Stegostoma tigrinum: one gene and its partners. The protein of the gene in region 4 purifies or fractionates together with the protein of the main gene of each other region. This does not show direct contact. Links are inferred from orthologs where the notes say so. Each region holds a gene or a part of one and is shown on either strand. Other genes may lie near its edges. The genes, in order: cttnbp2, misshapen-like kinase 1, fgfr1op2 and strn3.

Evidence for each region.
Region 1: the proteins of strn3 (region 4) and cttnbp2 purify together in Homo sapiens (affinity purification with mass spectrometry; 4 studies listed by BioGRID and IntAct, with this or other methods). This does not show direct contact. The link is inferred for Stegostoma tigrinum from reciprocal best matches to the Homo sapiens genes STRN3 and CTTNBP2.
Region 2: the proteins of strn3 (region 4) and misshapen-like kinase 1 purify together in Homo sapiens (affinity purification with mass spectrometry; 3 studies listed by BioGRID and IntAct, with this or other methods). This does not show direct contact. The link is inferred for Stegostoma tigrinum from reciprocal best matches to the Homo sapiens genes STRN3 and MINK1.
Region 3: the proteins of strn3 (region 4) and fgfr1op2 purify together in Homo sapiens (affinity purification with mass spectrometry; 5 studies listed by BioGRID and IntAct, with this or other methods). This does not show direct contact. The link is inferred for Stegostoma tigrinum from reciprocal best matches to the Homo sapiens genes STRN3 and FGFR1OP2.

Annotation. Positions count from the first base shown.
Region 1 is NC_081371.1:35,147,211-35,155,055, forward strand, and holds the start of cttnbp2 (cortactin-binding protein 2), read right to left. Parts: upstream 3,012-7,845; 5' UTR 2,632-3,011; coding exon of another isoform or gene 2,556-2,631; intron 2,504-2,555; exon of another isoform or gene 2,253-2,503; 5' UTR 2,217-2,252; coding exon 2,034-2,216; intron 1,115-2,033; coding exon 1,007-1,114; intron 1-1,006. UniProt on the Homo sapiens protein: Regulates the dendritic spine distribution of CTTN/cortactin in hippocampal neurons, and thus controls dendritic spinogenesis and dendritic spine maintenance.
Region 2 is NC_081398.1:13,574,925-13,581,758, forward strand, and holds the start of misshapen-like kinase 1, read right to left. Parts: upstream 3,007-6,834; 5' UTR 2,368-3,006; coding exon 2,311-2,367; intron 1-2,310. UniProt on the Homo sapiens protein: Serine/threonine kinase which acts as a negative regulator of Ras-related Rap2-mediated signal transduction to control neuronal structure and AMPA receptor trafficking.
Region 3 is NC_081371.1:59,157,625-59,165,154, reverse strand, and holds the start of fgfr1op2 (FGFR1 oncogene partner 2 homolog), read right to left. Parts: upstream 3,022-7,530; 5' UTR 2,948-3,021; intron 1,281-2,947; 5' UTR 1,094-1,280; intron 177-1,093; 5' UTR 175-176; coding exon 40-174; intron 1-39. UniProt on the Homo sapiens protein: May be involved in wound healing pathway.
Region 4 is NC_081363.1:61,112,166-61,119,661, forward strand, and holds the start of strn3 (striatin-3), read left to right. Parts: upstream 1-4,495; 5' UTR 4,496-4,654; coding exon 4,655-4,894; intron 4,895-5,048; exon of another isoform or gene 5,049-5,102; intron 5,103-7,496. UniProt on the Homo sapiens protein: Calmodulin-binding scaffolding protein which is the center of the striatin-interacting phosphatase and kinase (STRIPAK) complexes.

The DNA of each region.
Region 1 (7,845 bases), on a different chromosome or scaffold from region 4:
ATAGGACAACTATATTTATCTTACATTTGGAGTTTAAGCTTAATGTGGGTCACGAATATTGTCATGGTGGCTTCTTACACAGCTGTGCTTTCATTGTATAACATAAACTAAAAGTATTATGCTAACAAGAGTTTTTTTTAATAAATACAGAGCATCCCAATAGAAAGCATAACACACTGGAGTTCCTTCACAAGCTACGAAAATCACCTAACCATCATTTCCATTTTGGTGTGCATCTTAAACTTAAGCACTAAACTTTGTGTGTCACCAATCTGGATATTTTTTAAACACAGTTACCTAAACCCACTTTGGAACACCAGTAAGTTGCCTCTTAACCTTCACAGATATACCATTAAGAAAAAAAATATCACAATCTGTGACTATCTTCTTGTAACAAATCTCCCACAAAATGGTATCACTTTAATAAATCCCTTTTGTACCCATTCCATAATCTTGACATTTTTCCTTATTTAGATTCCAAAAACAGAAGTAACATTCTAATGGCAATCCAACCAATGGCTCATCATTACCACTTCAATTTTACACTGTCTCCCTACTTATGAAACCAAACGTCCCAGCAGTTTTAACAGCTTTTGTCAACTGGTTCTAATAATTTAAATAATTCATTTCCACCCACAGCCTTGAGCTTTCCTTCGTTCACATCAGTGCAGCACTTCTAATTCGTAGGAGGGCAGCTTAATGGCAAATCGTTCATGAAGTATTTAAGCCTGACATCAACCTGTACAGCAAAGCAACCAGAAATGCTGCAAACTCTAATGATGACAGCATTCGTTTACAGTGTAAGTGTAAGACAGGATGTCTTTGAAATTGCTAATACCTATCAAATTATTTGCCAAGTTGAATACTTGTAGCTGGAAAATTCCAACAGCATCTGGTTCTTTAGTGAAATGAAAGCCTGTGTGAAATGTGTGCATCACACATTTGCACCATCCTATAAATGGAGGGTGAAATAGAAACAGTTAAGAAAAGAAAGTCTATCACTTACCCTTAACGTTTCGATCACCAGATCTCTGGCTTCCAATTCTCCTTCAAGGATACTTAGGAAAGTCAGCAGCTCGGTTTTACTCAGACTCTCCAGGTCAAATTCAGACTTCTGGAACAGTAACAAATTTACTTCCAATTTAAGTGGATAAGGACTCACACCAATGTATTAAGCATTAAGCTGAATGACAACACAAAACATAATTTACGCCTCTAACAATGTTTGACTGAAACAAAAATCAAAAGACCATAAACAAATGTGCAACTGTTCTACGTACTGTATAAAACACGATAATACAAAAAAAACCCTCAATTCCTTAAGGTGGCTAGTCGATTCTCCTACAGCTCTTACGATTTAAGGTAGCCGAATGTTCTCATCAATTACAATTAAACAGCAATTGCGATATAATATGAAAGGAAATGTAGTTTAGACAAATAATATCTTCGATACAATCGAGTTTTGCCTTATTGAACTGAGTAAGATAAATGATATAGACACGGGCTCAGATTTCAGCTGCAGGAAGGCAACCCTCGGGGTTTTGTTCAGGGCAAACAAAGTGCTGCGGGCCGGCAAAAACCTTGGTGTGTGGGTGGGTTTTCGTTTTCAAACAGAAAAAAAATGCCTTCAATCGAATTTCAATTTCGGAATGTAGTACGTTCCACTATAAAGCCAGCAAAGAAAATGAGAATCTCGGCAACGGTGTGAGCAAAACGCCAAACGTAAATCGATTCTAAAGCCCAAATCAAATCGTGCTTTCAAACACGTTACGAAAAAGAAAAGCGACGGGAACGGAATTTATGAAGAGGTAGAAGAACTGCACGGTTACATTTTCCAGGCTGAACCCCTCTTAGCGTGTGGCCGCTTCCCGCATCAACTTCCACAGGGAACGGATACATTGTATCCACTGAGTTTATGCGGCTACATTCCAGACTCAACCTCTCACAAAGGAGCGGGCTTTTCTTCATTTATTTAATACACATTGCCGTTGATAAAGCTGACTCCGCGGTACGGGTCACTCACTGGACTTTACCTGGCAGACAGTGGGGGCTTGTTCCTCAGACGAGGGGTCGCCGCTGTCCGGCCTCAACTCGCTCTCAGTCGCCATTTTGCCTTGTGAGGGGGTGGGAGGGAGGGGGGAATACAGACAGACAGACTCAGCGCCAGCAACCAGACAGGGGGCAGTGACCACCAGCAAAGAAAAACCAGAGCCCATTCACAGCAACCGAGAGAGAAACTGCAGAAACGAAACCTGTCGAGAGAAAGACACAGTCTGCATAAATCAAACCTATAAAAGAAACAGCACAAAGCAAACTGGAGAGAGGGAGGGAGAGACTGTACAGACCTAAGCAGAGAGAGAGATTGCACAAACCAAACCAAATCTACAGACAGAAAGAGACTGTACAAACCAAACCAATAGAGAGATTGCATAAATCAAATCTACAAAGAGAAACAGCACAAACTAAACCAGGAGAGAGAGACTGTACAAATCAAAGCAGAGAGACATTGCACAAACAAAACCAGGAGAGAAAAAGAGAGATTGCATAAACCAAACCTGGAGAGAGGCTGTACAACCAATGGAGAAAAAGAGAGACTGCATAAACCAAACCCAGAGATTCCGAGCTGAACATCAAACTGACAATGAAATAGCCACACAGAGGCTCTACCAAACCAGCAACTTATTACTGGAGAGGCGAAACTAAATGACACATGAAGGGTAACTCTTCTGAAGGCTGGGGTCAGTGCAGTGTGAAGCACCGCTGTTCTTGCTGATGATTTTTCATCTGAATACCTCCCGGTGAACAAGTCTCACGTTTGCCTGGTAATTTTGACATGGACCCATTTCTCGTAACATTGCATAGTTAGTGTAGAAAATTTATAAACAAAGCCTCACGGGCACGGAAGTTTCACTGTCCATGAACGCTCACATATTCCAAACCAAAATCAAGACCTCGGACTGTGGCAAAATGCTTCTGCAGCCATTTCACAGTGAGGTGTAACTGATCTGTATAACTGCTATCATCGTAAGAACAGCACAGGAGTCACGGAGACCCTGCTTGACAAGATATCGTGACTTGGAAGCTGGTTGGTTGATAACGAGATAGGAGAAATGTTAAAATATTCGTCGCTTTATCTGAAGTCCCTGCCTTTCTCTAATAAATTTGAAACTCCTGTGTTGCATTGGGAACCAGATAACGGGTGTCGAAAAAAGTAGACTGCCATTTTTTTCAAGCTTTTTTAATTTATTTGTTTGGTCTTTGCCGTTAGTCAAAATGAAGGTAAGTGTAATTAACTGCATCAATCTGTCAGGCAGACTTTTGGGGAAAATTTTTACTTCTGTTGATTGTAAAGCCAAAGCAAAACACTCAATTTTGTCAGTCTGTAATGTGAATAGAAAATTTTGGAACTACTGTCACCAGATCAGGCAGAATTTCTAAGAGAAAGCAGAGTTAATTAGCTGGATTTCAATCTTCCTTGCTGGCAGGATTCAAGGTGGAAGACCTACTTGTTTCACCTAACCTGGGCGATATGTCGGGTATGTGGAGGTGTCAGACGGTCTACCCTGTCTTTGGGCCTATTGAGGCCAATAAGTGGGCCTCCCATCACCATCAGTAATTTACCCTTAGTGGATGAAGACCCACATCATGCAGGAAGCTGCGTGGATTGATGCCAGGCAAAAAGAGACAGATCTCCTGTGTGAATCTTCTGGATCCAATGGAGCTTCTAATACTTAGTTTCTGAAATCTCACATGCAGGATAACTCAAAAGTAGTTTTTATAGCTTTTAGCTATTCTATATTATCTCAGGTAAAATATATGTTACTTTTTGCATATTAAAATGCAAATCTTGTGTCCATTTGGAGTATAATACTAAAGGAGAGCATCAAAGAACCTGAAGAATGTTTAAACCTTGTGGAACAAAATAATGTTCATTTCAGAAAACAAGTAGCTAAATGTCAGTGGAAAGTATTCACTTTCCTACTAAATTGCTGGAAAAAATATCCTGATTAAATTAAGATGGAAATGCTGTAACCACAAACTGGGCTAAAATAATCTATATACAGCAAAAACTTCAAATGCATATGCACTAGGATTAATTCTAATCAAATTAATTTTAAAAATGGAATTACTAAACAGTAGGCAGTTTGGCGACATCATAATTTTGATTTCTTACTGTTAAATAGGATGTGGTAAAATCCGGAGATAATTCAGAAAAAAATTGCTTGAAGCAAATCTCCTGTCACTTCTCACGCAGCATCATCTTCATTCTTCACAAAAAGCATAAATTGAAACTCCGAAGAACAACTTTGCCACTTTCCATCTCAATGCCATTATTTGTACACAAGTGATCAAAGAATGGGAATTACTTTCAATTTCATGAGCTTTTTTTTAAGGAAATAATCTGCAATCTTGCACAAAGCTTAGTTTATTGCTTAATTCTAAGAAACGTGGAAACTGAAACCGAACAATTGGAGGGCACCTTGAGGAAGAAAAGTCAAATATCTGTGCTTTTGTAAGAATGTCTTATAGATGCAGGAACAGTAAAACTGCCTCTTTGCACACCAACCTCCAGTCCCTTTTGGAATGTAGGGTATCTATGACATGATGTAGTTACTTTAATTTAAGGGATGAGCAATTGTTTATAACAAACGATGTCAGGTCCCCAGATTATCTATATAATCCAAATCCCACATCTCTGACAAAGGAACAGCAGTAGGCCATTCTTCCACTATTCAGTGAGAGCATGGCCGATCTGTGACCTAACTCCGTATTCCTGCCTTTTGCTGAACAAAAAACTATCAATCTTGGACTTAAAATTAACAACTAACCCTGCATCCATTGCCATTTCCAGAAGAGAGCTCCAAACATGACCCTTTGTATATAGAAGTGCCTCCAAAATCTCTCTTGAATGGTCTGGCTGTAATTCCCAAACTGTGCCCCCTAGTTCTACAATGTCAAACTAGTGGAAATAGTTTATCTTTGTTTACTTTGTCTTTTCCCGTTAATATCTTGAAGACTTCAGTCAGATATCCTTAACCTTCTAATTCTTTAGAAAATAGGCTATATTTATCTGGATGTGAGTTTGCTCGCTGAGCTGAAAGGTTAGTTTTCAGACATTTCGTCACCATTCTAGGTGACATCATCAGTGAGCCTCCGACGAAGCGCTGGTGTTATGTCGAAAAAAAAATACCTTGCAAGAACTGTGACAAACACTACATTTGGACAAACAGGCAGAAAGCTAGCCACCAGGATACATGAACATCAACTAGCCACAAAACGACATGACCCACTATCACTCGTATCCTTACATACAGATGAGGAAGGTCACCACTTTGAGTGGGACAACACATCCATCCTAGGACAAGCCAAACAGAGACACGCACGAGAATTCCTAGAAGCATGGCATTCCAACAGGAACTCCATCAACAAACATGTTGATTTGGAGCCAATCTACCATCCTCTGAGAAAAGGAACAGTAAATGACATCACCAATGCAGGAAATGACATCAGCAACCCAAGGAAACCTAAACAGGTAAATAGAAAGTGGGACATAACACTAGTGCTTTGTGGGAGGCTCACAGATGATGTTACCTAGAATGGTGACAAAACATCTGGGAACAAACCTTCAAGCTCAGTGAACCAGCTTATATCTGGAACAAAATAAAGAACCACTCTCTTGTGGACTGAGAGGAGGAGAGTGCTGTCTTGGAGGTGGAAGGAGGACGTCGGGTTGGCTGTGCACCCTTGCAACCAGTGGATCTTAATGCTGGCTTCGGCCTAACGCTGGTTCAGGGGAGCAGCCAACCTGCAACGATGGCTGCGGCAAGTGCTCGTGCCCCAGGTCAGGGGGTCCGGAACGCCAACCGTGTTTCCGTAAAGAAGGTGGATGAAGGTGCACCTGTGGACTGCACCTTCTTCGTGAAGAGGGTCCTGTTGGACTGTTGCGGGTTCGCTGCTGCGGACATTTACTGCCTGCAGGATTTCCCCGGAGGAGGTTTATACGACGTGACCTTCAGGAGTGCCAAGCTTTGCGAGCACTTCCTGGAGGTTTTCAAGGAGAAAGGAGGTGAGGGCCCCCTCTCTGTATTGCCTGCTGTCCCGCTGTTTGTGATGCCAGCGCAGAGGAGCCGTATGGTGACTGTACATATGTACAACCCGCATGTGCCAGCAGTTGATGTCCTGACCTTCCTCGGAAGGTACGTGAAGGTGGAAGGGGACCTAACTGACATCATGGACCCCTTTGGCATCTGGACGAGTAAGAGGCAGGTCAAGGTGATGCTGAGGATGGGTGCGGACGGGAATGTCGTACACCCACCGTCCAGCTTCGCGATCGGTGGGAGCAAGGGCTACCTGACCTATGCATGGCAACCTAAAGTCTGCCATGCCTGTGGTAGGTCAGGTCATGTGGCGGCCGACTGCAAAGCCACCATCTGCAGGGAGGAGGGACACCTTGCAAAGGATTGCCCACAAGAGAAAAGCTGCAACCTTTGCGGGGAAGCGGGCCACCTCTATAGGGCATGCCGGCAGCGGGGGACCACCTATGCCCAGGTTGCTGGCAGGGGCAATGCGGGGCCAGCGCCCCCGGAGGAGAGGAAGGCACCAGGGCCCAGCAAGGACCCCACTAATGAGCGGGAGGGCCAGGCCGCGCAGGGTGGGCCCAGCCCCGCAGGGTGGGCCCGAGGCCGGCAAAGCACCCCTGCAGGCTCCGCTCCCCCCCGACAACCCGGAGTCGATGGAGGCGGCGACAGGCGACCCAGGGGAGTGGACAACAGTCCGGAAAGCGAGGCGGAAGGTGCGTCGATGGGCCCAGAAACCGCAACCATCAGGCGGGAAGAGGCAGCTACAGGGGGGCTATAAGAGCTCCTCTGACGAGGGGGATTCGGAGAGGGCCCACCCGAAGCAGAAGTTAAAGATCTCGAGGGAGAAGGAAAGCAGCATCCCGCTTCCAGGTGATGGGAGGCGTCCTGAGGCTCCCGCCGACACCCAGTCAAGTGCCGCTGGGGCACTGGAGGGCCCCCCGGAACTTCCAGGCGGGACGGAGGAAACAGCGCGTCCCCAGCCTGACCCGGAGCCGGACCCTCCTGCCTCCGCACCCCTGACGGGGGTGATGCCACCCGGAAGGCAGCACAGACGGTTTCCTTAGCCCGGAGAGCGTCCGGCAGTTAGCCCGGGCAATGGGCATGAAGGGACAGATGGAGGGGCTGGACCTTGGACTTGGGGACGGTACTGCGGTCACTGCCCACAATGGGGGTACGAATTGCGAGCATTAATGTGCGCAGTGTCAAGTCCACCGCAAGATGTGTCTCCATGTTGGCCTACCTGACCACCGTCAAGGCGGACATCCTGTTTCTACAGGAGTGCGGGATACCGCACCTCGGCAGGTACGGGAAATGGTCCGGCGCCTGGACCTGGTGGGCCTTCGATCTGGTCGGGGGGTAACGACTGTCACTGCTCGGGCCTGGCTATTCTGCTGCGGGGGCGCGACTTCACATCTCTCAAGTTCAGGAGGTGGAGGGGGTGGCGCCTCCTAGTGGCTGATGTCACCTACAGGAACGCTCCCCTGAGGCTGGTCAATGTGTACGCCCCAGCGGTAAGGAATGAGCGGTTGGCCGTCCTGCAGCAGCTTCCACCCCTGCTGGCTACGTCCAGGCCAGTCATCCTAGGCGGAGACTTCAACTGCATCATTGATGCAGATGGAAGATCCGGCGTGGGGACAGCGGGTGGGGGGAGTCAACTGGACGTCACGCCCAGATTCCTGATGGGCACGGTGAAGGACGCCAAGCTGCTCGACGTCTTCAGCACCCCTGCAGACGGAGCACAGCGGAGGTACACCTGGTCGCGGCC
Region 2 (6,834 bases), on a different chromosome or scaffold from region 4:
AAGGGACGGGTTGGGGGAGAAGGGGAAATCGGGGAGGAGGGGGGGGAAGGGGAAATCGGGGACGGGGGAGAAGGGGAAATCGGGGAGGGGGGAAAGGGGAAATCGGGGAGGATGGGGGAAAGGGGAAATCGGGGAGGATGGGGGAAAGGGGAAATCGGGGAGGATGGGGGAAAGGGCGGGGTTAAGGGACCGGTGGGGGGAGAAGGGACGGGTTGGGGGAGAAGGGACGGGTTGGGGGAGAAGGGACGGGTTGGGGGAGAAGGGACGGGTTGGGGGAGAAGGGGAAATCGGGGAGGGGGGGGGGAAGGGGAAATCGGGGACGGGGGAGAAGGGGAAATCGGGGAGGGGGGGGAAGGGGAAATCGGGGAGGGGGGGGAAGGGGAAATCGGGGAGGGGGGGGAAGGGGAAATCGGGGAGGATGGGGGGGGGAAGGGGAAATCGGGGGGGGGGGGAAGGGGAAATCGGGGAGGATGGGGGGGGGAAGGGGAAATCGGGGAGGACGGGGGGGAAGGGGAAATCGGGGAGGACGGGGGAAAGGGGAAATCGGGGAGGACGGGGAAAAGGGGAAATCGGGGAGGACGGGGAAATCGGAAATCGGGGAGGACGGGGGAAAGAGAGGGGTGGAGGGAAAATCGGGGAGGGGTGAGGGGGAAAATCGGGGAGGGGGAAAATCGGGGAGGGGGAAAATCGGGGAGGGGGAAAATCGGGGAGGGGGAAAATCGGGGAGGGGGAAGGGGAAATCGGGGAGGGGGAAGGGGAAATCGGGGAGGGGGGAAAGGGGAAATCGGGGAGGGGGGAAAGGGGAAATCGGGGAGGATGGGGGAAAGGGGAAATCGGGGAGGACGGGGGAAAGGGGGGGGGGGGTTAAGGGACCGGTGGGGGGAGAAGGGACGGGTTGGGGGAGAAGGGACGGGTTGGGGGAGAAGGGACGGGTTGGGGGAGAAGGGGAAATCGGGGAGGAGGGGGGGGGGGAAGGGGAAATCGGGGAGGGGGGGGAGGGGAAATCGGGGAGGATGGGGGGGGGAAGGGGAAATCGGGGAGGATGGGGGGGGAAGGGGAAATCGGGGAGGACGGGGGAAAGGGGAAATCGGGGAGGACGGGGGAAAGGGGAAATCGGGGAGGACGGGGAAAAGGGGAAATCGGGGAGGACGGGGAAATCGGAAATCGGGGAGGACGGGGGAAGAGAGGGGTGGAGGGAAAATCGGGGAGGGGTGAGGGGGAAAATCGAGGAGGGGGAAAATCGGGGTGGGGGAAAATCGGGGTGGGGGAAAATCGGGGTGGGGGAAAATCGGGGAGGGGGAAAATCGGGGAGGGGGAAAATCGGGGAGGGGGAAAATCGGGGAGGGGGCAGAAAGGGGGGAAATCAGGGAGGAAAGGGGTGGAGGAAAGGGGAAATTGGGGAGGGGGGAGGAGGGGGTGGGGGAAAGGGTGAATCGGGGAGGAGGGGGGAAAGAGAGTGGTGGGGAAAATCGGGGAGGGGGAAAATCGGGGAGGGGGAAAATCGGGGAGGGGGAAAATCGGGGAGGGGGAAAATCGGGGAGGGGGAAAATCGGGGAGGGGGAAAATCGGGGAGGGGGGGAAGGGGAAATCAGGGAGGGGGGGAAGGGGAAATCGGGGAGGGGGGGGAAGGGGAAATCGGGGAGGGGGGGAAGGGGAAATCGGGGAGGGGGGGGGAAGGGAAATCGGGGAGGGGGGAAAGGGGAAATCGGGGAGGACGGGGGAAAGGGGAAATCGGGGAGGACGGGGGAAAGGGGAAATCGGGGAGGACGGGGGACCGGTGGGGGGAGAAGGGACGGGTTGGGGGAGAAGGGACGGGTTGGGGGAGAAGGGACGGGTTGGGGGAGAAGGGGAAATCGGGGAGGGGTGAGGGGGAAAATCGGGGAGGGGGAAAATCGGGGAGGGGGAAAATCGGGGAGGGGGAAAATCGGGGAGGGGGAAAATCGGGGAGGGGGAAAATCGGGGAGGGGGAAAATCGGGGAGGGGGCAGAAAGGGGGGAAATCAGGGAGCAAAGGGGTGGAGGAAAGGGGAAATTGGGGAGGGGGGAGGAGGGGGTGGGGGAAAGGGTGAATCGGGGAGGAGGGGGGAAAGAGAGTGGTGGGGGAAATCGGGGAGGGGGGAAGAGAGGGGTGAGGGGGAAATCGGGGAGGGGGGAAGAGAGGGGTGAGGGGGGGAAGAGAGGGGGGAGGGGGGGAAGAGAGGGGAATCGGGGAAGAGAGGGGTGAGGGGGATGAAAGGGGGGAATCGGGGAGCGGCGGGGGGGGGGGGGGCAAGATAGTGGAGGGGGGCGGGGAGTCAGTTCCTTGCCTTACCCGGAGAGCCGAGAGGTCGATGTCGTCCAGACTGCGGGCGGGAGGCTCGTTCGCCATCTTCCTGCGCCGCCTGATGGCCGGGGAGAGGGGTTCGGGCCCTTTCTGTGTTCAACCGTGAGCAGAGGCCGAGCCCGCGGCCCCGTTTTCAACAGACTCACGGGCGCCGGACACTGACTGACGGGGCGGAGGATGGAGGGGTTGTGGGGGTGCGGTTAGATCTCTCCACCTCAACCTTTTGTTACTCTGCTACGGCTGGGCGAATGGGGTCAGGTGAAACGGGACCTGTCCTTACGGTGTTGGGCGGGGGCAGCTGCCGTTGGTGAAGATCTGCCACCGTTCCGTCCTCTCCTCCGCCTCCATTCCCCGGTTCCAAACGACAACCTACTTCTCTCCCCAACGCCAACCCTCGACCGGTAACCAGGGGCAACGCCGCCGACACGCCCAGACTCCTGACGTTTAACCCCGCCCACTGTAGGGCGTCATGATGCCCGCCCCCACGTTTGACCTCCGTCGGACGTCATAGGCCGGCCCAGCCGCGTGACGTTGGTTTTACCCCTCCTATGAGAACGTCAGGTTCTCCACGCCCCGTCCCCTCAGACCAATCGGAACACCACCTGACGCGCCCCCGGTCCGTGCAGTTCTCCGTTTCCGCCTCCCCGCCGGCTGTCGCTCCGCACTGTTTTGACGTCACGGCCTCCTAACATGAAAGACGCGGACGTCACTTAACCACCGGACCTGGGTGACGTCACCGACAAGCCGTAATGCCATTCGCTCCCCTCGTGAAACGTGCTCGCGCCTGCGCTCCAGCTCGTCCTTAAGCCCCAACATTGCGCCTGCGTACTCCGAGCCGAAGGCGCGTCTGAGATGATGTACCTGGTTGATGATGCTTTGATGAGCTCCAAATGAAGGCTTCATTCCATTGGAAACCAGAGGGAGGGGATATTCTGTGTAAGAGCATACAGGATGGTAATGGGACAGTTCTCACTAAGACTGCTGGTGGTTTAACCTGAGGGTCACCAGACCTCAGGTGAGGGGAAAGTGGGCCTTCGATTTACCACAGACATTGCATCTCAGTCTAATACAGACGTCAACCTACTGAGTACCTGAATGGATAACACGCCTCTATACAATGCAAATCGAAATCTAAGCGTTAGTCCACGTACAAACTAGGGCAGGACTTATACAATTAATGATAGGGCCTTAGATAATGTGGTGGAACATAGCAACCAGGGGTGCAGGCAAGTTTTTGGCATGTTGGTTAAAAGGTTATTTGCCACGCATGTCTTCAGTGCTCAGTCCTTTGAGTTGGGATGTCATATTGAGGTTGTACAGCATGGTGGTGAGGTCTGTTCTTTGAGTAATGTATGCAGTTCTGGTCACCAGGTTACAAGAAGGATATTCTTAAACTGGAGAGGATTCAAAAGAGGTTGTTGGTGAGCATGGAAAATTTGAGTGATAAGGAAAGGCTGGAATATTTTTCACTGGAGCATAGGAATTTGAGAGGTGAACTTAGATTTGTAAAATCATGAAGGTTAATGGAAGGTATCTTTTCCCTAGGATTGGGGATTTCAAGACTAGGGAGCACATTTTTAATGGCAGAGGTGAGATTTTAAAAAGCTGTGAGGGGAAAATCTTTTTACATAAGGTGGTTTTTGTGGAATGAACTTCATTAGGAAGTGGTGGATGTGGGCACAGTTAGAAAATTTTTTTTTAAAATTTGGACAGGTACATGAATTGGAAAGGTTTGGAGGGATATGGGCCAAAAGCAGGCAGGTGGAATTAATTTAGTTCAGTATTACGATCAGCATAGGCTGATTGGACCAAAGGGTCTGTTTCCATTCTGTATGACTCTATATCTATAATGTTGTAGCTATTATAGACCTGGTTGCAAGAAGGACAAGACTGTTAGCTTAACGTTCCAGATTTAGATGTCCATGCAAGACAGAGATCGATATTTTTTATTTTCAAAAATGTGCATTGGTCATAAAAAAATCTTTAAATACATGCAAAGTCACTAAAGCAGTCCTGTTCTGTACAGTAACAGATGGAGAAACAAACTAATGTTGGAGTTTCACTATACCCAACAAAACTAACCCAAGGCTGTTTCTTACTGATACGTGATTATATTTACATCAATTTGAGGCACAGGAAAGGCGTCCGATGACTGGACAGACCCCTGTTTAACTTTGGCAGAAATATCTTCGACAGTAGTCTTTCCCCACTGTGCCTTCGCAGCAGCTGGCCCAAGCTTCAGTGCATCCCATACCTTGGAATGTGCCAGTCTGCAATATTCAGTCAAGATCACCTCCGCACTGGAAGACCAACAGATCTTGGCATACCAAGGACTGTCTGTTCAGGAAGTTGATAGCCCTCCAGGTGCAAGTGGATGTTTGTCTCTATGCATCCCAGCACAGAGGAATCATGGAGCTACACAGAATAAGCCTTGACAAAAACCACCCATTGCTCTCCATACTTACTTTCCCTACTCCTGCCAGCCTTACCCTTCATTCTAACAGAAACATGCTGGCCCTGAACCCTCTAACTCACTTCTGAAAGCATCTCATTTACCAGACGTCCCTTTGCCTGCAAACAGCCTCCCCCATTCAACTCTTGAACATTCCTGTCAAAGGCCATCAAAGTTGACCTTGCCCCAATTTAGAATGTTGTCTTGTGGACTGGATCTATTCATTTCCTTTGCTGTTTTATAACTAATGGAATTATGGTCACTGGTCCCAAAGTGCTCCCCTATTAACTCTTCATCACTTGCCCTGCTGTATTTTCCAAGAGGAGATCAAGTTTTGCTCCTTGTCTATTGGGGCCATCTACATACTGCATGAGAAATTCCTCCTAAATACACTAAACAAATTTGTCTGCAAACAAACCCTTACACAATGACAGTCCCCAGTCGATGTTATGAAGGTTAAAATCACTTACTATTACAACCTTATTACTTGCAGCCATCTGCAAACTCCTTACATACTTGTTCTTCAGTCTCCTGCTGACTATTGGGCAGCCTAGATACAATGCTTTTTTTTATATTTCTCAGTTCCACCCATATAGATTCTGAACAAGCCCTCAAGCATGTCTACTGTCAGTACTGCTGTGATGTTCTCCCTGAGCAGAAACTCAACTCTTCCTCCTCTGTTGCTTCCCTTTCTCTCCTTCCTATAACATCGGTACCGGGAACATTGAACTGCTAGCCCTGTCCTCCCCTCAACCATGTTTCTGTAATAGATTTATTATCCCGGCCCCATGTACTCATCTAGGCCCCAAGTTCATTTGTATTATTTGTCAGGCCTCTTGCATTGAAGTAAACACAGTTTAGCTGAGACCTCCCTTGCTTCCTGTTGTGCTCTTGCCTGCTGTGTCTAGTACTAGGATTACCAACACTGCCTTTACTGTTTAATTTGCTTTCATTAACCTCTGTACTGCCCTAAACCTTCTCTGTTGTCTCCGTACTGCTTTTGATCCCATGCCCCCAACTCCTGCCAGACTAGGTTAAACCCTCCCAAGGATAGTCGGAACTGCCGATGTTGGAGTCTGAGATAGCAAGGTGTGGAGCTGGATGTACACAGCAGGCCAGGCAGCATCAGAGGAGCGGGAAAGCTGAAGTTTCGCGTCTGAACCTTTCTGAAGAAGGGGCCCAGACCCAAAATGCCAGCTTTCCTGCTCCTCTGATGCTGGCTGGCCTGCTGTGTTCATCCAGCTCCACACTTTGTTATCTTAAACCCTCCCAAGTTGCTTCCAAGTCTTCCTGCCAGAATGTTGACCCCCATCCAGTTCAGATGCAACCGTCCCTCTTGTACAGGTCACCTCTGCCCCAGAAGAGATCCCAATGATCCATGAATCTGCATCGCTGCCCCTTGCACCAGGTCTCAAGCCATGCACTCATCTGCCAAATCCTGCTCATCCTATTTTCACTAACATGTAGCACTGGAACTCACCCAGAAGTTACTACCCTTGAGATCCTGTATTTGAACCTTCTGCCTAATTCCCTGTAATCCCTCTTTAGGACCAACTCCCTTTTCCTACCTGTGCTGTTGGTACCAGTATGTACAACGACTTCTGGCTACTCACCCTCCCCCATAAGAATTTCATACAATGCTCAGAGACGTCCTGGATCTGGGAGGCAACGCACTGTCCTGGAGTCTCAAACACAGCCTCAAAGATGCCTGTTTGTGCCCCTGACTAGCAAGTTCTCTACTATTCATGCTCACTTGGACTTTGTCTGACCCGGCTCTACAGCAGAGCTAGTCATGGTGTCATAGGCCTGACTGCTGCTATTATACTCCCCTGGGAGGCTACCACGCCCCCACCGGTTTCTGAAATGGTATACTTGTTAGAGAGGGGAATAATCACAGGAGAGTGCTACACTGCCTTCCTACCACTCCTGGCAGCCCCCCCATCTACCTGACTGAACCTGGAGTGTGTCCACATCACTGTAACTAGTGTCTATAACACTCTCTTCCCCCTGCAATGCTGTAAACCAACAATATGGTCTGTGAGGAGCTGCAGCTGGTCACA
Region 3 (7,530 bases), on a different chromosome or scaffold from region 4:
AGCTAAATGATTGCAGAATAATTGTTGTATATCACTCACCTGCTTCATGGCCTCCACTCGCTTGTTCAGTGCAGTGGTCTGTTCAATGAGAGCTTCTGCTGCACTGTCATGTTCTTTCAATCGTTCCACCAGCGCTTTTGCATCAGCCAGAACCTTCTCTATAGTACAACTCATTTCTGTAAAAGGAAAGACTGTTTTTCTGGGTCGACACAGAGTGAAGATGGTGGAACACAGCAGGTCAGCAGCATCAGAGGAGCAGGAGAGTCGATGTTTCGGGCCTAGACCCATCATCGGTCCTGATTCCTGGAGTCAGCCTGACCCGCTGTGTTCCTTCAGCTCCACACTATTGATTCTGATTCCGGCATCCGCAGACCTTGCTGTCTGTTTTACTGGGTGCCAGAGTACACGGCTCACAGAACACGAAACAGATTGTATTGGTGTACCATCCTGCAGCAGACAGAAAACATTCAATCCTGTTGCACAACTCATCAGAATGGCTGCTCATCAAGCTCCGTGCTCTCCCAGACCGCTGCAAATCTTCATTTACCACTAGGGGTTGTGCTGGCAAGGTAGGAACCAAACTTGTACAATGCAAGACACCATTAACCACATCTGGGAGCACTGTTCCATTTCAGGAAAGTTATTTGTGTTTGAAACACTGGTCTTAAATAGGATCTTTAAAGACTATTGCACCCTTAAAAGGATCCTCACTGAAGACAACACAGCTCTGTCTCAGTGCCGCACTGGAGCAGTCAGTTTAGGCCATCGGTAAACCCACCAGACTGTAGGTAAGGGTCCGAACAATTAAGCCCTGCTGATAGCAGGAAAAACAGAAAATGCCATGACAAAAACAAATCTGTCAAATGCTTCAGAGAATGACTTTACAAAAAGACATCCTTCAAAGACTAGACTTTGACAGCTGCAGAAATTCTCTTGTGTTTTAATCACACTAATTACCAGCCTAATTAGCCAGTGTTTCAGATAAACTGGGTTGTCATTTCAATAGCTAAGGCATATTCTGTGTTGTTACTGAAATTACAAAGAAACTTTGGCTCACAGACTGCTTTGTAACATCAAATGAAAAATCACAGACCTGAAGCACCAACTATGTTCTGATCTCCCCGAATACAGCCAGCAGCTGAGTATTTTCACTAATTTCTGTATTTACTTCAGGTTTCCAGCATCTGCAGCATTTTTCTGTTGTTGCATTTATAACTAGGCTGTTTTTGACGGCAAATTAGATGTCTTGGGGTCGCAAGAACCTTACTCCCCATTCACACCTACACACACAGGATCAAAGTTTTACTTCTGTGTTGTCGAGTTATAAATAATAACAAGCAATTCAGGTGCAAACACAACATAAGCCCGTTGTAAGCCAATCTGACACGGCACTGAACCCAGGCAAAGGAAAACAAGGCAGACAGTCACTATGTATTGGGGAGGGGTCTCACAGAAGTATGGAAACTGCTACAACATGGAAGCTGGAGGAGGAGAGTGAGGGAGGGTGCAAGGGGAAGGTGGTAGTGAGAGAGGGATGGGGGGAGAGGGATGGGGGGAGAGGGGTGGGGGGAGAGGGGTGGGGGGAGAGGGGTGGGGTGGGGGGAGAGGGGTGGGGGGAGAGGGGTGGGGGGAGAGGGGTGGGGGGAGAGGGGTGGGGGGAGAGGGGTGGGGGGAGAGGGGTGGGGGGAGAGGGGTGGGGGGAGAGGGGTGGGGGGAGAGGGGTGGGGTGGGGGGGTGGGGTGGGGGGGTGGGGGGAGAGGGGTGGGGTGGGGGGGGAGGGGGGGGGGGGAGGGGAGGGGGGGGAGGGGAGGGGGGGGAGGGGGTGGGGGGGAGGGGGGTGGGTGGGGAGGGGGTGGGGGGGAGGTGGGTGGGGAGGGGGTGGGGGGGAGGGGGTGGGGGGGAGGGGGGTGGGGAGGGGGGTGGGGAGGGGGGTGGGGGGGAGGAGGGGGGTGGGGAGGGGGGTGGGGGGGAGGAGGGGGGGGAGGAGGGGGGTGGGGGGGAGGAGGGGGGTGGGGAGGGGGGTGGGGGTGGGGGGGGGGAGTGGGGGGTGGGGGGGGGAGTGGGGGTGGGGGGGGGAGTGGGGGTGGGGGGGGAGTGGGGGTGGGGGGGGAGTGGGGGTGGGGGGGGGGAGTGGGGGGTGGGGGGGGGAGTGGGGGTGGGGGGGGGAGTGGGGGGGAGTGGGGGTGGGGGGGGAGTGGGGGTGGGGGGGGAGTGGGGGTGGGGGGGGAGTGGGGGTGGGGGTGGGGGGGAGTGGGGGTGGGGGTGGGGGGGAGTGGGGGGGGAGTGGGGGTGGGGGGGAGTGGGGGGGGAGGGGGAGTGGGGGGGGGGAGTGGGGGGGAGGGGGAGTGGGGGGGGAGTGGGGGTGGGGGGGAGGGGGAGTGGGGGGGGAGTGGGGGTGGGGGAGGGGGGAGTGGGGGTGGGGGAGGGGGAGGTGGGAGTGGGGGGGGAGTGGGGGAGGGGGGAGTGGGGGTGGGGGAGGGGGGAGTGGGGGTGGGGGTGGGGGAGGGGGGAGTGGGGGTGGGGGAGGGGGGAGTGGGGGTGGGGGAGGGGGAGGTGGGGGAGGGGGGAGTGGGGGTGGGGGAGGGGGAGGTGGGAGTGGGGGTGGGGGTGGGGGAGGTGGGAGTGGGGGTGGGGGAGGTGGGAGTGGGGGTGGGGGAGGTGGGAGGGGGGGTGGGGGAGGTGGGTGGGTGGGGGGGAGAAGTGGGTGGGGGGAGGTGGGGGGGTGGACGGGGGAGGTGGGGGGGGGGAGTGGATGGGGGGGGTGGGGGGGGTGGGTGGGGTGGGGGGGGTGGGGGGGGGTGGGGGGGGTGGGGGGGGTGGGTGGGGTGGGGGGGGTGGGTGGGGTGGGGGCGGATGGTGGGTTGTCCCTGGGAGGTCAGGACCCTATCGACTCCCTGCGCCGCAGCCTTGGAGACCCCTCGCGGCTCCTTCCCGCTCCATATCTCACCGACTCAGAACCGTTGCTGCTGCCGCCGTTTCCATGAACCTCTCGGCGGTCAAAGGCCGGAACCGGAAATGCCCCAACAACCCAGGGGCGGAACCGCGCGTGCGCAACCCCGGCGCGCCGCGCGGTGCACGCAGGGGATTGTAGTTCGCTGCAGTGCGCATGCCTGATGCTCCACGGATTTCACCTCCAGGCTACAGGCGGCGCTGTCCAAAGGAAAACGCATTTGCAACATTCAGGTGCAAATGTGTCAAACAGGAACAACCATGTGGCCAAACCATGTGGCAAAACCAGTGGGAAATCCAACCGGAACCCATTGGGTTAGTCACCAGACATGTGGCTGTTTGTCATTTTGGGGGAACTGTTAGCTTGGAAAATGACTGACAGACAGGAATGCCCATGTCAGGAGTGTTTCAGCCTCTCACACTGATCCCTCAATTATCTTTCTCAAGAAAAGTGATTTCTCACATTGATTCGAATAGACAGATGTTTGATGACCATGCACACATGATGGGCTGAAGGGCCTTCTTCTGTGTCGTAAAAAAACTCTGAGGTCAGACGACACCAGGTTATAGTCCAACAGGTTTATTCGAAATCCCAGGCTTTCCAATTGTAGAGATAGCAGGAACTGCCGATGGTGGAGTATCTGATACAACACGGTGTAGAGCTGGATCAAAGGAGCAGGAAAGCTTGACGTTTTGGGTCGGGACCCTTCTTCAGAAATGGGGGAGGGGAAGGGGGTTTCTGAAATAAATAGGGAGACGGGGGGAGGCGGAGAGAAGATGGATAGAGGGGAAGATCGGTGGAGAGGAGACAGACAGGTCTAAGAGGCAGGGTTAGAGCCAGTGAATGTGAATGTAGGTGAGGAGTTAGGGATGGGATAGGTCAGTCCAGGGAGGACGGATATGTCGGCGGGGGTGCGGGATGAGGTTAGTAGGTAGGGGATGGGGGTGGGGCTTGAGGTGCCTTTGTCAGGTGAAGCCCTGACAGAGGAGCAGTGCACTAAAAGTTTGTGATTTCAAATAAACCTGTTGGACTATAAACTGGTGGCATCTGAATTCTGACTTTGTCCACCCCAGTTGAACACCAACCTCTACATCATAAAAAATGCTACGTGTGGAAGACCTTTGTGATCCTTTTAAGAATTCTGATTTAGTGATCGTGTTTTTTTTTGTTTGACTGTGCACCAATATATCACCAATACTCTTGCTTGCCTTTACACACACTATTTGCCTTGCCCCCACTCTGACCAGTTGTTCACGCTCTTCCCACTTACATTTATGATTCCTCTAACATTATGTTCTATTATAATTTCCAGTTTCCTGGCCGCAGACAACACCTCTTCACCATGGGTGTATAATCCTTACACACAGCTATCCCCATCAGGATGTTCTGGCAGTTGTCTACTACTTCCTTGAAAAGAGGGCTGAATGATTCCTATCCTCCAGCACCTGACTGAGCTCATTTTAAGTCTGAACAACCCCTTTAACTTGTTCAATTTTCTCTCAGTCAAAGGAGTGGCTATGAGGACCTGCATTGGGCCCAGTTGTGCCTATCTCTTTGCAATTTGAGCAACATTCCTTCAGTCCTAATCAGGAACCCTCCCAATGACATCATTAGTGCTGACACTGGTCTGGAATCAGAAAAATTAATTAGCTTTGCTTCCCATTTCCAACCTGGTCTCACCTTCATCTGGTCTATTTTGACTCTTCTTTCCCTGCCCTTAATTCCCATGCTTCCATTTCTGGGGATAGGCTGTCCACCAATATCCATTACAATCCCAGTTACCGTGGCTACACATCTGCAAATCTTATGTCCTGCAAGGACTCCATTCCATTTTCCCAGCATCTCCATCTCCTTTTGCATCTTTTCCAACGATGCCAGATTCCACCTTGTGGTATCCAACATGATATCCTTTTGTGTCAACTGAGAAATTCTGCCCTTTAAGGAATTCCTCCCTCCCCACCCTCATTGTAGCTGACAGACCCCTGAACCATGTGCAATCTGTCTCTCCCATTTTTCCATCAACAATGATAGGATTCCCTTTGTCCTCACTCCCCACCAGTGTGCACATCCAAAGGATCCTTCATTGGCTCTTCTGCCACCTCCAGCAGGATGTTACCACCAACACATCTTCCCCTTCCCTCCAATGTCAGCATTCCACAGGAACAATTCTCTCTATAACAGTCCAAGCACTTCCTTACTGTCCAAACGTACCTGCTCCAGGTGAAGCAGTGTATTGTAGTGTACTATCTAGTGTATTGTATTCACTGCTCACAATGCAGTCTCCTTTACACTGGTGAGACAAAGTGTAGACTGGATGATCACTCTATGGAACCATTCCAATCTGTCGATAGGAAGAACCTTCTTGTTGCTTGTTGTTTCAATGCCATTATCTTGCTCTCTTGCCAACATTTCCATCCTAGACCTGCTGCAGCGTTACAGCAAAGCTCAACGCAAGTGGAGACGCAGCACCTGGTTTTCCTCTGAGGCACTTTACAGCCGCCAGAGCTCAACACAGAGTTCAACAACGTTCCAGCATGTACACTCTTCTCCAGTGACCATAGTTCTGTTACTTTTAAATAGTTATGGAGAAGGGCAAAACTGGCCCACAGGTTCAAATTCTAAATTGGAGCAAGGTGAATTTTGATGGAAAGAGACAGGAGCTTGCAGGGGTTGATTAGAATAGTTTGTTTACAGGTAAAGGGATCTCTGGCGAGTGGGAGGCCTTGAAAAGTGTGATAGGTAGAGTTTTAGGTCTATAAGCTCCTGTGAGGGTGACGGGCAAGGTTGGCAGGAATAGGGAACTCTGGATGACAAGAGATATTGAGCTTTTACCAGAAAGAAAAGGAGGCATGACTCAGGTAAAGGCAGCTGGGATCAAAGGGATCCCTGAAGGTATAGTGGGGATTCAGGAATTTACTGAAGGAGGAAATCAGGAGGGTGAAAAGGGGAGACAGCTTTGGCTGAGAAGGTTAGGGTGAATCCAAAGACATTCTTTAAGTATATAAAAAAAGAGGAATAACTAGAGAGAGAATAAGACCCCTCAAGGACCAAAGTGGACATGTGTGTGTGTGGAACCACAGGGGATGGGTGAGGTCCTAAATGAATATTTCTCCTCTGTGTTTACCGTGGAGAAAGAACATGAAGACTAGGGAACTTGGGGAGGTTAGTGGTGATATATTTGGGACAATCTATATCACAGTACAGGAGGCTTTGGAAGTACTAGAATATACAAAGGTGGATAAATCTCCTGGTCCTGACCAGATATGTCCAAGAACCCTGCAAAAGGCTAGGGAAGGAATTGCGGGATCCCTGGCTGATATAGTTGCATCATTATTAGCCATAAGTGAGGACCCACAAGACTGGAGGGTAGTGAATGTTGTGCCTTTATTCACAAAGAGCTGTAAAGAATAACCTGGGAATTGTAGATAAATAAGCTTAACGTCTGTGGTAGGTAAGTTACCGGAGAAGATTCTGAGGGATAAGACATACATACATTTAGAAAGACAGGTTTGATTAGGAGTAGTCAGCATGGCTTTGTGCATGGGAGTTCAAGCCTCACAAAATATGTTAGAGTTCTTTGATGAAGTGACCAGGAAGCTGATGAGGGCGGGGTAGTAGATGTAGTCTACATGGATTTCAGTAAGGCCTTTGATAAGGTTCCACATGGTAGGCTGCTCTGGAAGGTTAGATCACATTAAATCCAGGGAGAGCTGGCAATTTGGATAGACAAGTGGCTTGATGGTAGGAAACAGAGGATAATAGTGGAAGGATGCTTGTCTGACTGGAGGCTTGTGCCTCAGGAGTCAGTGCTGGGCCCATTTCTGTTTGTTGCCCATATCAATGATTTGGATGAAAATGTACAAGGCATAATTCTTAAGTTTGCGTATGACACTGAAATAGGTGGTATTGTGGACAGTGAGGAAGGTATTCAGTAATTGCAGCAGGATCTTGATCAGCTGGGGAAGTTAGCCGATAAATGGCAAATGGAGTTTAATATAAATAAGTGTGAGGGTGCGGCATTTGGAAAGTCAAATCAAGGTAGGAGTTTCATGGTGAATGGTCGGGCCTTAAAGTGTTTAGTGGAAGAGAGGGACCTTGGAGCTGAGGTGCACAGTTCTCTGAAAGTGGAGTCATAGATAGGGCAGTGAGGAAGGCTTTTTAGGAAGTTATGTTGCAGGTGTACAGGACGTTGGTGAGGCTGCACTTGGTGTATTGTGCTCAGTTTTGGTCACCGTGCTGTAGGAAGGATGCTACACCTTCCCGCCTCACCTCTGTGCAGGACCCCAAGCAATCCTTCCAGATTCAGCAGCTATTCCCTTGCACTTCACCCAGCCTGATTTATTTTTATTGCGTCCGTTGCTCCCGATGTGGTCTCCTCTGTCTCACGGAGACCAAATGTAGACTCAGGGACCGGTTCATCAGCATCTGCGCTGTGCATGCACCAACCAACCTGTTCTTCCAGTTACCATCCACATTAACTCCCCCTGCCACTCCCCTGGTGACATGTCCATCATTGGCCTCCTCCACTGTCAGAGTGAGGCCAAACATAAACTGGAGGAACAACACTTGATATTTTGCCT
Region 4 (7,496 bases):
ATGGCTGGAAAAGCTCTGAAAATTTGGTTAGATGGAAATGAGTGCATGATCTCCTACTGGGATCTTTGCAAAATAGAAATCCTACCTGACAATCGGCAGTTAATATTTTCCTATAACAACAAGGTGTAGAGCTGGATGAACACAGCAGGCCAAGCACCATCTTAGGAGCAGGAAGGCTGATGTTTCGGGCTTAGACCTGGCCTTCTTGCTCCTGTGATGCTGCTTGGCCTGCTGTGTTCATCCAGCTCGATACCTTGTTATCTAGGATTCTTCAGCATCTGCAGTTCCTATTATCTCTGATAATATTTTTCTATTATGTTTTACCATAATCTCTGGTACAAAACAAATTGTCTCTGATTACTTTACGGACAGGTTCTATGATAACCTCCCAAGCAAAACAAATCAACATTATAGAGAAGGTTAACTGCACACACGTACTGTATTGTGTCAGTATCTCAAACAATTTTAACAGTTACTTCATATAATCAAAATGTTAAAATAATGAGCATCAGCTAAATAACAATCTCAAATCAGATAGAAGTTCAAAAGTGACAATATCACAGTTATTGCCAAATCAGCCTACACATTTCCTTAATAAGACAAGTGACTACTATGTGACAGCAGGACTTCAATCATCTTGATATCAAACATATCAAGAACTAAAGAGATGAGGAACTGTTTGAACCAGACTGAAATGCTATGTCAGTGTGACCTCAATGTATTTTGGTTAAGTTTGATTCTTCCTGTAACAAAGTGTAACACTTTGAAGGCATGAAGCAAATATAGCATTATTAGAAGATGGAAAAGAACTAAAATTACTCAAATGGAAAGTATTTTGAATTATAACATTTATTTTTAAAGCAATGATTGATATGGACAAGGAAAATTAGACTGAAAATAGATGTTATTCATTAAATAGAATGTATCCTGAAGATAATTCTGGCTGTTTACAATATAGGATAACTATTTTCAGACTCTTCTATCCTCTGCTACTGAAAACCAGCAACTGAAAGAGTCACATTAAAGACACTAACAGCTGCCTCATGCAGGCATGAATGTAGCTCATGGTTACAGTGACTTCCACTTCAGTATTTCTGCAGTTGAATTCCAATTAACTTATGCAGACACTATAATTATCTTATCATCATTGGTTGACGTGATGGGAAACCCCATTCATAGCTCAAAGTAAAAATCTCCATTGTTGACCAATCACTCAGGACTAATGGCAATTCAGTATGATTGAAGAATTGTACTTAGGAACTGTTGATAGTGTAATCAATAAAAACAGATACAGCTGTCCACTTCCCACCGACCAAATCATTCAGCTGGAAGTTGTGCCATGTTCCATTCAGCTGTACTTGCAAGTGCGAGCTCTGTTCATTGGTCCATACTGAATTCAGTCACGTCAGTCAAAGCAGCACTGGGGACTTGTAGTTGACCTATGAATCCGTGGATTGAGAATAACATCCAAGGTTTTATCTTTTCATTATTTACTGACTACTGCTGGAAAACATCACATTATGTGAGCACAGCACCCGAGCATTGCTATGTAGGTCTATAAAACCAAAAAAGTGCATTCAATTAACACCAAATAGACATTGAGGTTTCCTGAAATGTTTCACAAAATAAAATATTCTTGAAATGTAGTTATGGCTGGTTTTCAAATAAACAAGGCAAACTGGTGCACAGCAACAGACTACAAATTAACAAGTTTTTGGTGATTTTGATTGAGGGATATAAATTTGCCAAACACTCGTTCTTCCTCTTTAATCACTGGATCATGGCCCAGTTTAATGTCTCGTTCAAAAGACTGTGATTTGAACAAAGAAGCATCCACTCAGTACTGCTCTGACATACGTACTCTTGAAACTGTATCTTTCCGACTAAAATTTGAGAATGTTACCATTGGGCCATTATGACTGCTTACTAACAACTAATATTCAGACTCAAATGTAAACAATAAGTGCTTGAAAAGAACTTCTGATAGCTACTGGTACAGGATTAGAGTTGTATCAGTGCAGAGACTATCTCCAGGACTTCTAAGGAACAAAATATGAAAAATATACCTTTATAAATTGTCTTTAAAGTGAAGCAGGTTCAAGGAACCAAGTGGCTGGTTCGTGCTCCTAATTTGTATGTTGGTATATTCATAGAGACAGAGTCAGAGATATATAGTACAGAAAACAGACCCTTTGGCCCATCTTGTTCATGCCGACCAAGTATCCTAAACTGATGTAGTTCCATTTGCCAGCATTTGGCCCATAACCTTCTAAAGCCTTCCTGTTCATGTACTCATCCAGATGCATTTTAGATGATATAATTGTACCTCCCTCCACCAATTCATCTGACAGCTTGTTCGATACACAAACCAACCTCTGCATGAAAACATTGCCCCTCAGGTTCCTTTTAAACTTATGTTGACAGAGGCAAAGGAAAAGTAACACGAAGCAACAGGATTAGGATGAGAGATCAAGAGCTTATTCATGGAGGTGATCAAAAGTTAATAAATGCCTGCAAATACATGGTCGGGCCATGGTTAGAATAAAGACAACAGAGTTTTGTAATTTTAGCTTGTGGACCATGGATAATGGGAAGTTGGACTGAAGAATAATTGAATAATTAAAACTGGAAGGGTCAGTTCAATGAATCAGTGTTTTCAATGCAACATGGGTTGAGATAACGGAAGAGCAGATAATGCTACAGAGTTGAATGTTGCAGATCTTCATGATGTACATGGTATCTTGACTGACTGACATCTTTGTTTTTGACTGCGAATGTTACTAACTAATTGCATTCTTATTCCAGAATTTATAATAATTTCTTTTCATCCAGTTTTCTACCCATTCCATTCATTCTAAGTAAATTATATCTGTACACTCTGGAATTTAAAGAAATGAGGGGTGATTTCGTTGAAACATGCAAGTAGTTGAAACTGAAGTCGTAGGAAGTGCTGGAGAATCTGAGATAACAAGGTGTAGAGCTGAATGAACACAGCAGGCTAAGCAGCATCAATGGAGCAGGAAAGCTGACATTTCGGGCCTAGGCCCTTCTTAATTTTCTGAAGAAAGGTCTAGGCCCGAAACATCATCTTTCCTGCTCCTATGATGCTGCTTGGCCTGCTTTGTTCATCCAGCTCTACACCTTCTTATCCAAGATTCTGAAGTGGTTTCGCAGGTTAAAGAGAGAAGGTTTTTCTCCTGTCTAGGGAATCTAGGGCACCAGGGATCAATGATAACAAAGTGTGAAGCTGGATGAACACAGCAGTTCCCATTATCTCTGATCACCAGGGAACAATTTCAGGTTAAGGATCACTTGGGGTTGACATGAAGAGAAATTTCTTCACTCAGAGGTCTGTGAATCTTTAGAATTTTCTACAGAGGTGTGAACTCTCCAGACAAATACATTTCTGATCTCACATAATCAAGATTAATGGGAGAAGATAAGAAAACAAAACTGATGCAAAAGATTTGTTGTGACATTGTGGCTCAGTCATTAACACCACTGTCTCACAGCATCAGGGACCAGGATTCCATTCCACCCTTGAGTGACTTGTCTGTATGGAGTTTGCACATTCTCTAGATGTGTGTTGGCTTGCTCCAGTTTCCTCCCACAGTCCAAAGACATGCCATGCTAAATTTCCCATAATGTTCAGGGATGTGCAGACTCAGTGGGTGAACCATAGGAGGTTGCAGGAAATAAGGTGGGATGCTCTTCAGAGGGTTAGTGCAAATGTGATGGGTGGAATAGCCTGCTTCCACACTGTAGGATTCTATATTTAGTAGATAAGCAGACTTGAAGGTCTGCAGGATAACCCACACCTGGTTTTACTTATGTGTCTTGGATATAGTCAGCCTTCTGGCATCTTTCACCATGATTATTCTTTCCGTAAACTCAGACAATGAGAAATGAATGGATAATTAAGACTGTAGCCCTTAATAGTAAAAAGAACTGGGCAGTGATCAATAATAAGACTGTGGCTGGTTCTCCTCTTTAGCACAGGAACATACACTTGAACCTCTACCCTAGCAAAACCAACAAAAAAAGTCAACAAGCTCCTGTCAGCCAGAATGGTGCAATGCTGAAAATTTTAGCTTCAAGTTAAAGGATTATTGTAGAAAGTTACAGAAACTCTTTCCTGTTGCATTAGCAGGTTCTGTTAAATAAAACTCAATTATCTGAACACACGGGGTCTTAAATAGTATCCGCAAAAGTGATGCGATCACTGATTAGAAATAAGGAAAAAGAGCAAACATTTTAAATTAAACTGAATCGCACCAGACCGTTTCTTAGGGGAAGTAATATCTGAATAGAAACTGATACTTTGATCGTAAAAGGAGAATCTCATTTCATTTGTCTTACACGCTCTTTTCAGTCTCTCTGTAGAAACGACAGGTAAGGTCCTAGTGAGTAGCCTGCAGACACTGAGCAGGTGTGTGGGCCAGTGAGGCGCGCCTGCGCACTAGCGCTGCTGCTGTATTTGGCCAAAGGGCCGCGGCTGCTCCTCCTCCACCGACAGCGCAGCGCCGCCGCCATATTCTGCAGACAGAAGGGCAATGGCGGCTCGCTTGCGACGCTGAAACTCATCCGGTTACTTTCCTTCGCGGACCCTTCCCACTAATATAACAATACCACCGTAGTAATAACAATAATAAACATGGACGAACATCCGATAGGAATGTCCTCACAAAACAATTCCGGAGGTCCTTTGCTGGGCCCGGGAAGCAACGGCAGCAACAACAACGGTGTCCGGCAGCAGCAGCAGCAGGGTCAGCTAGAGGAACTGCAGCAGCGGCCCCAGTACACTATCCCCGGCATCTTACACTATATCCAGCATGAGTGGGCCCGCTTCGAGATGGAGCGAGCGCACTGGGAGGTGGAGAGGGCCGAGCTTCAGGTAGAGTGACAAGCAGTGCTCGCACAGCGGGTCTGGGGGTCCGGGGAGGGCTGATCTACAGCTGGGGACGTCGAACTCGGAATGAGCGATACGGTTGTGTGCTCAGTGTTCGCCCGGGGCTCGGAGGAGGATTGATAGAGCGGATAGTATTTACCCAAGTGTGAGGCTATCCTCGCCGCCGCCATTTTTGTTTCCAATATGGCGCCGGACAGCTGAGTGTAAATAACTGGGAGCATGTTTGTATGTGGGTGCTCATGGACCTTAGGTTCGTCTGATGGTCCTGGTTTTCAACTTAATTTGCTTCTCCTGATTTGTTACCGAATGATGCTGTTGTCGGACAGTGTGCGCCTCTTACATCTCTGATCAAACGGGGAGCCTCAGACCCGGGTGTCTGGTTTTGCAGAATGGATTGTTTGAGCGTTGCTTGGGTAGCATTGCATAAGCCCTTGATGCAGAATATGACTCAGTTCTCATAATTTGCCTGAAACTGTCAATCTGGATAAATGTGTTTGTGTTGAAGCGATTCAGTTGTGATCCGACAAATTGGCACTGACCACATCGGGCATAGACTTGACATTCAGTTGACTGACGCGATATCGTTTTAATTCACTTGCAGTTTCATTGCGATCCTGTCATTTAAACAAATGCATGTTCTCACATCGTGGTAACTGTTTATCGTTGTAACGATGGACAGCTTAAGGCAAAATGCAGGATCTCAATTCCTCGTTCACTTTGGTGGTGTCATTATACCATATATCCATTTCTGAAGTTAATTCTAACAGCAGCATTGTTATATGTTACATGACTTGTTAAGATACCCTTTGTGTCTTCAAAATATTACTTTAAGACAGACAACTGTTTGTATAAACAGTTTGCAACAAAAGGTAGTGTAGGCATTGTAATGTTGAGGACAATGCTGCGTTTTTAGAGGTTCCATCTCTTGGGTGAAATTGTAAACAGGCCATGTTTGTCTGTTGATTTCAAGAATAATTTTGGTACTGTTTACAATTTAGGAGTTCTCACAGATCACTTACTCTTAAAACAGCACTAAATGGATTAACTAGTCATGTTTGAGTTTATATAGAAATCGGATGCAGTTTGTTCGCATTAAAGCAACTACACTTCAGATCTAAAATTCAAATCTTGAAGTGTTTTGAAATAACTTGATAATGTATTTTTTTTTTGAAGAAATGCTACTTGTCGTTACATTCTAACTGACAATATGGTAATAAGTAAATTTTTTTTGTTACTTTTGAATACATGCAACCTTTTTTAAAATACAAGGCAGTGACTTACTTCACTGTCACTAATTAATCTCAGTATTTAAAATTGGTGTACCTGGATTCTTTATATTGTGAGTTTTTATAATTAAATATTATCATTAATATCAACCAGTAGTTTAATTTTGCTAGACCTTTTGAGTAAATGTGATTTTGACTGCTAGATTTTTCTTGAATTAAGTTTAATGATGTAGTTTATGTTTTATTTGTAGTTTTGGGAACAAAATATTTATCCTACATTAATTGAAACCATATACTATATACTGTACTTGGAATCACAGAAACTAGGAGCAGACTATTTGGGCCTTCGAGGTTTCAGTATGATAATAGCTGACCATATGTCTGCTTTCTTCCCATGCCTGTTGATACTTTCAAAATCTAAAAAGGAATCACTTTCTTGAATACATTCAGTAATTTGGCATACATGTCTTCAGTAGTAGAGAATTCCCCAGATTAACTACCCTTTGAAGAATCATAGAATCCATGCAATGTGGAAGCAGACCATTCAGCCCATTGAGTGGACACTGGCTTTCCAAAGAGCGTCTCACCCAGACCTATCCCATAGCCCTCCCTGTAACACTGCATTTCCACCTAGCCTCACACCCCTAGACATTGTGGGCAATTTAGCATGGCCAGTCCATCTAACCTGCTCATCTTTAGACTGTGGAACGATACCAGAGTACCTGGAAGAAATCCACACAGACACTGGGAAGATGTGCAGATAAATAGTTTAACCCATATTTTAATGCTGTTCCTTGATTCTGGACTCCCAATCAGGAAAAAAAATCTTCCCACTATCCAGTGTGTCCAGCTGTGTTAGAATTTACACGATAAGAATCATACCCCTAGACCAACAAGCGTACACAATTTATCTCTGTGTTAGAATTTTATACATTTCAGTCAGATCCCGTTTCATCCTTCTATTGGATCTAACAGAGGACAGCCATGGAATTCTTGGAGGCTTGACATTCATCTGAGGACTCTATCAACCAACACATTGAATTGGATTCAATATATTGACCATTACAATGCACAGCCAGAACTGGCACCTACCAGAAGCAGCAAAAACCAGACCATGTAAATTCAAACTGGCACAAGACAACAGCACTGAGTATGTCATGTAGTAAGGGGACAAAACATCTGCTATCAAATCAACGAACACACCAGCATCTACAACCAGCACTGTCCTATAAATCTAAGGCAACCCCAGTTTGCCTTCCAAATTGCTAGTGCACCCACCCATTGATCGGCTTACAAAGACATCCCGATCCCTTTGTTTATCCATACTTTCCAACACAGCAAGCTTTTTTTATTATCCTGCA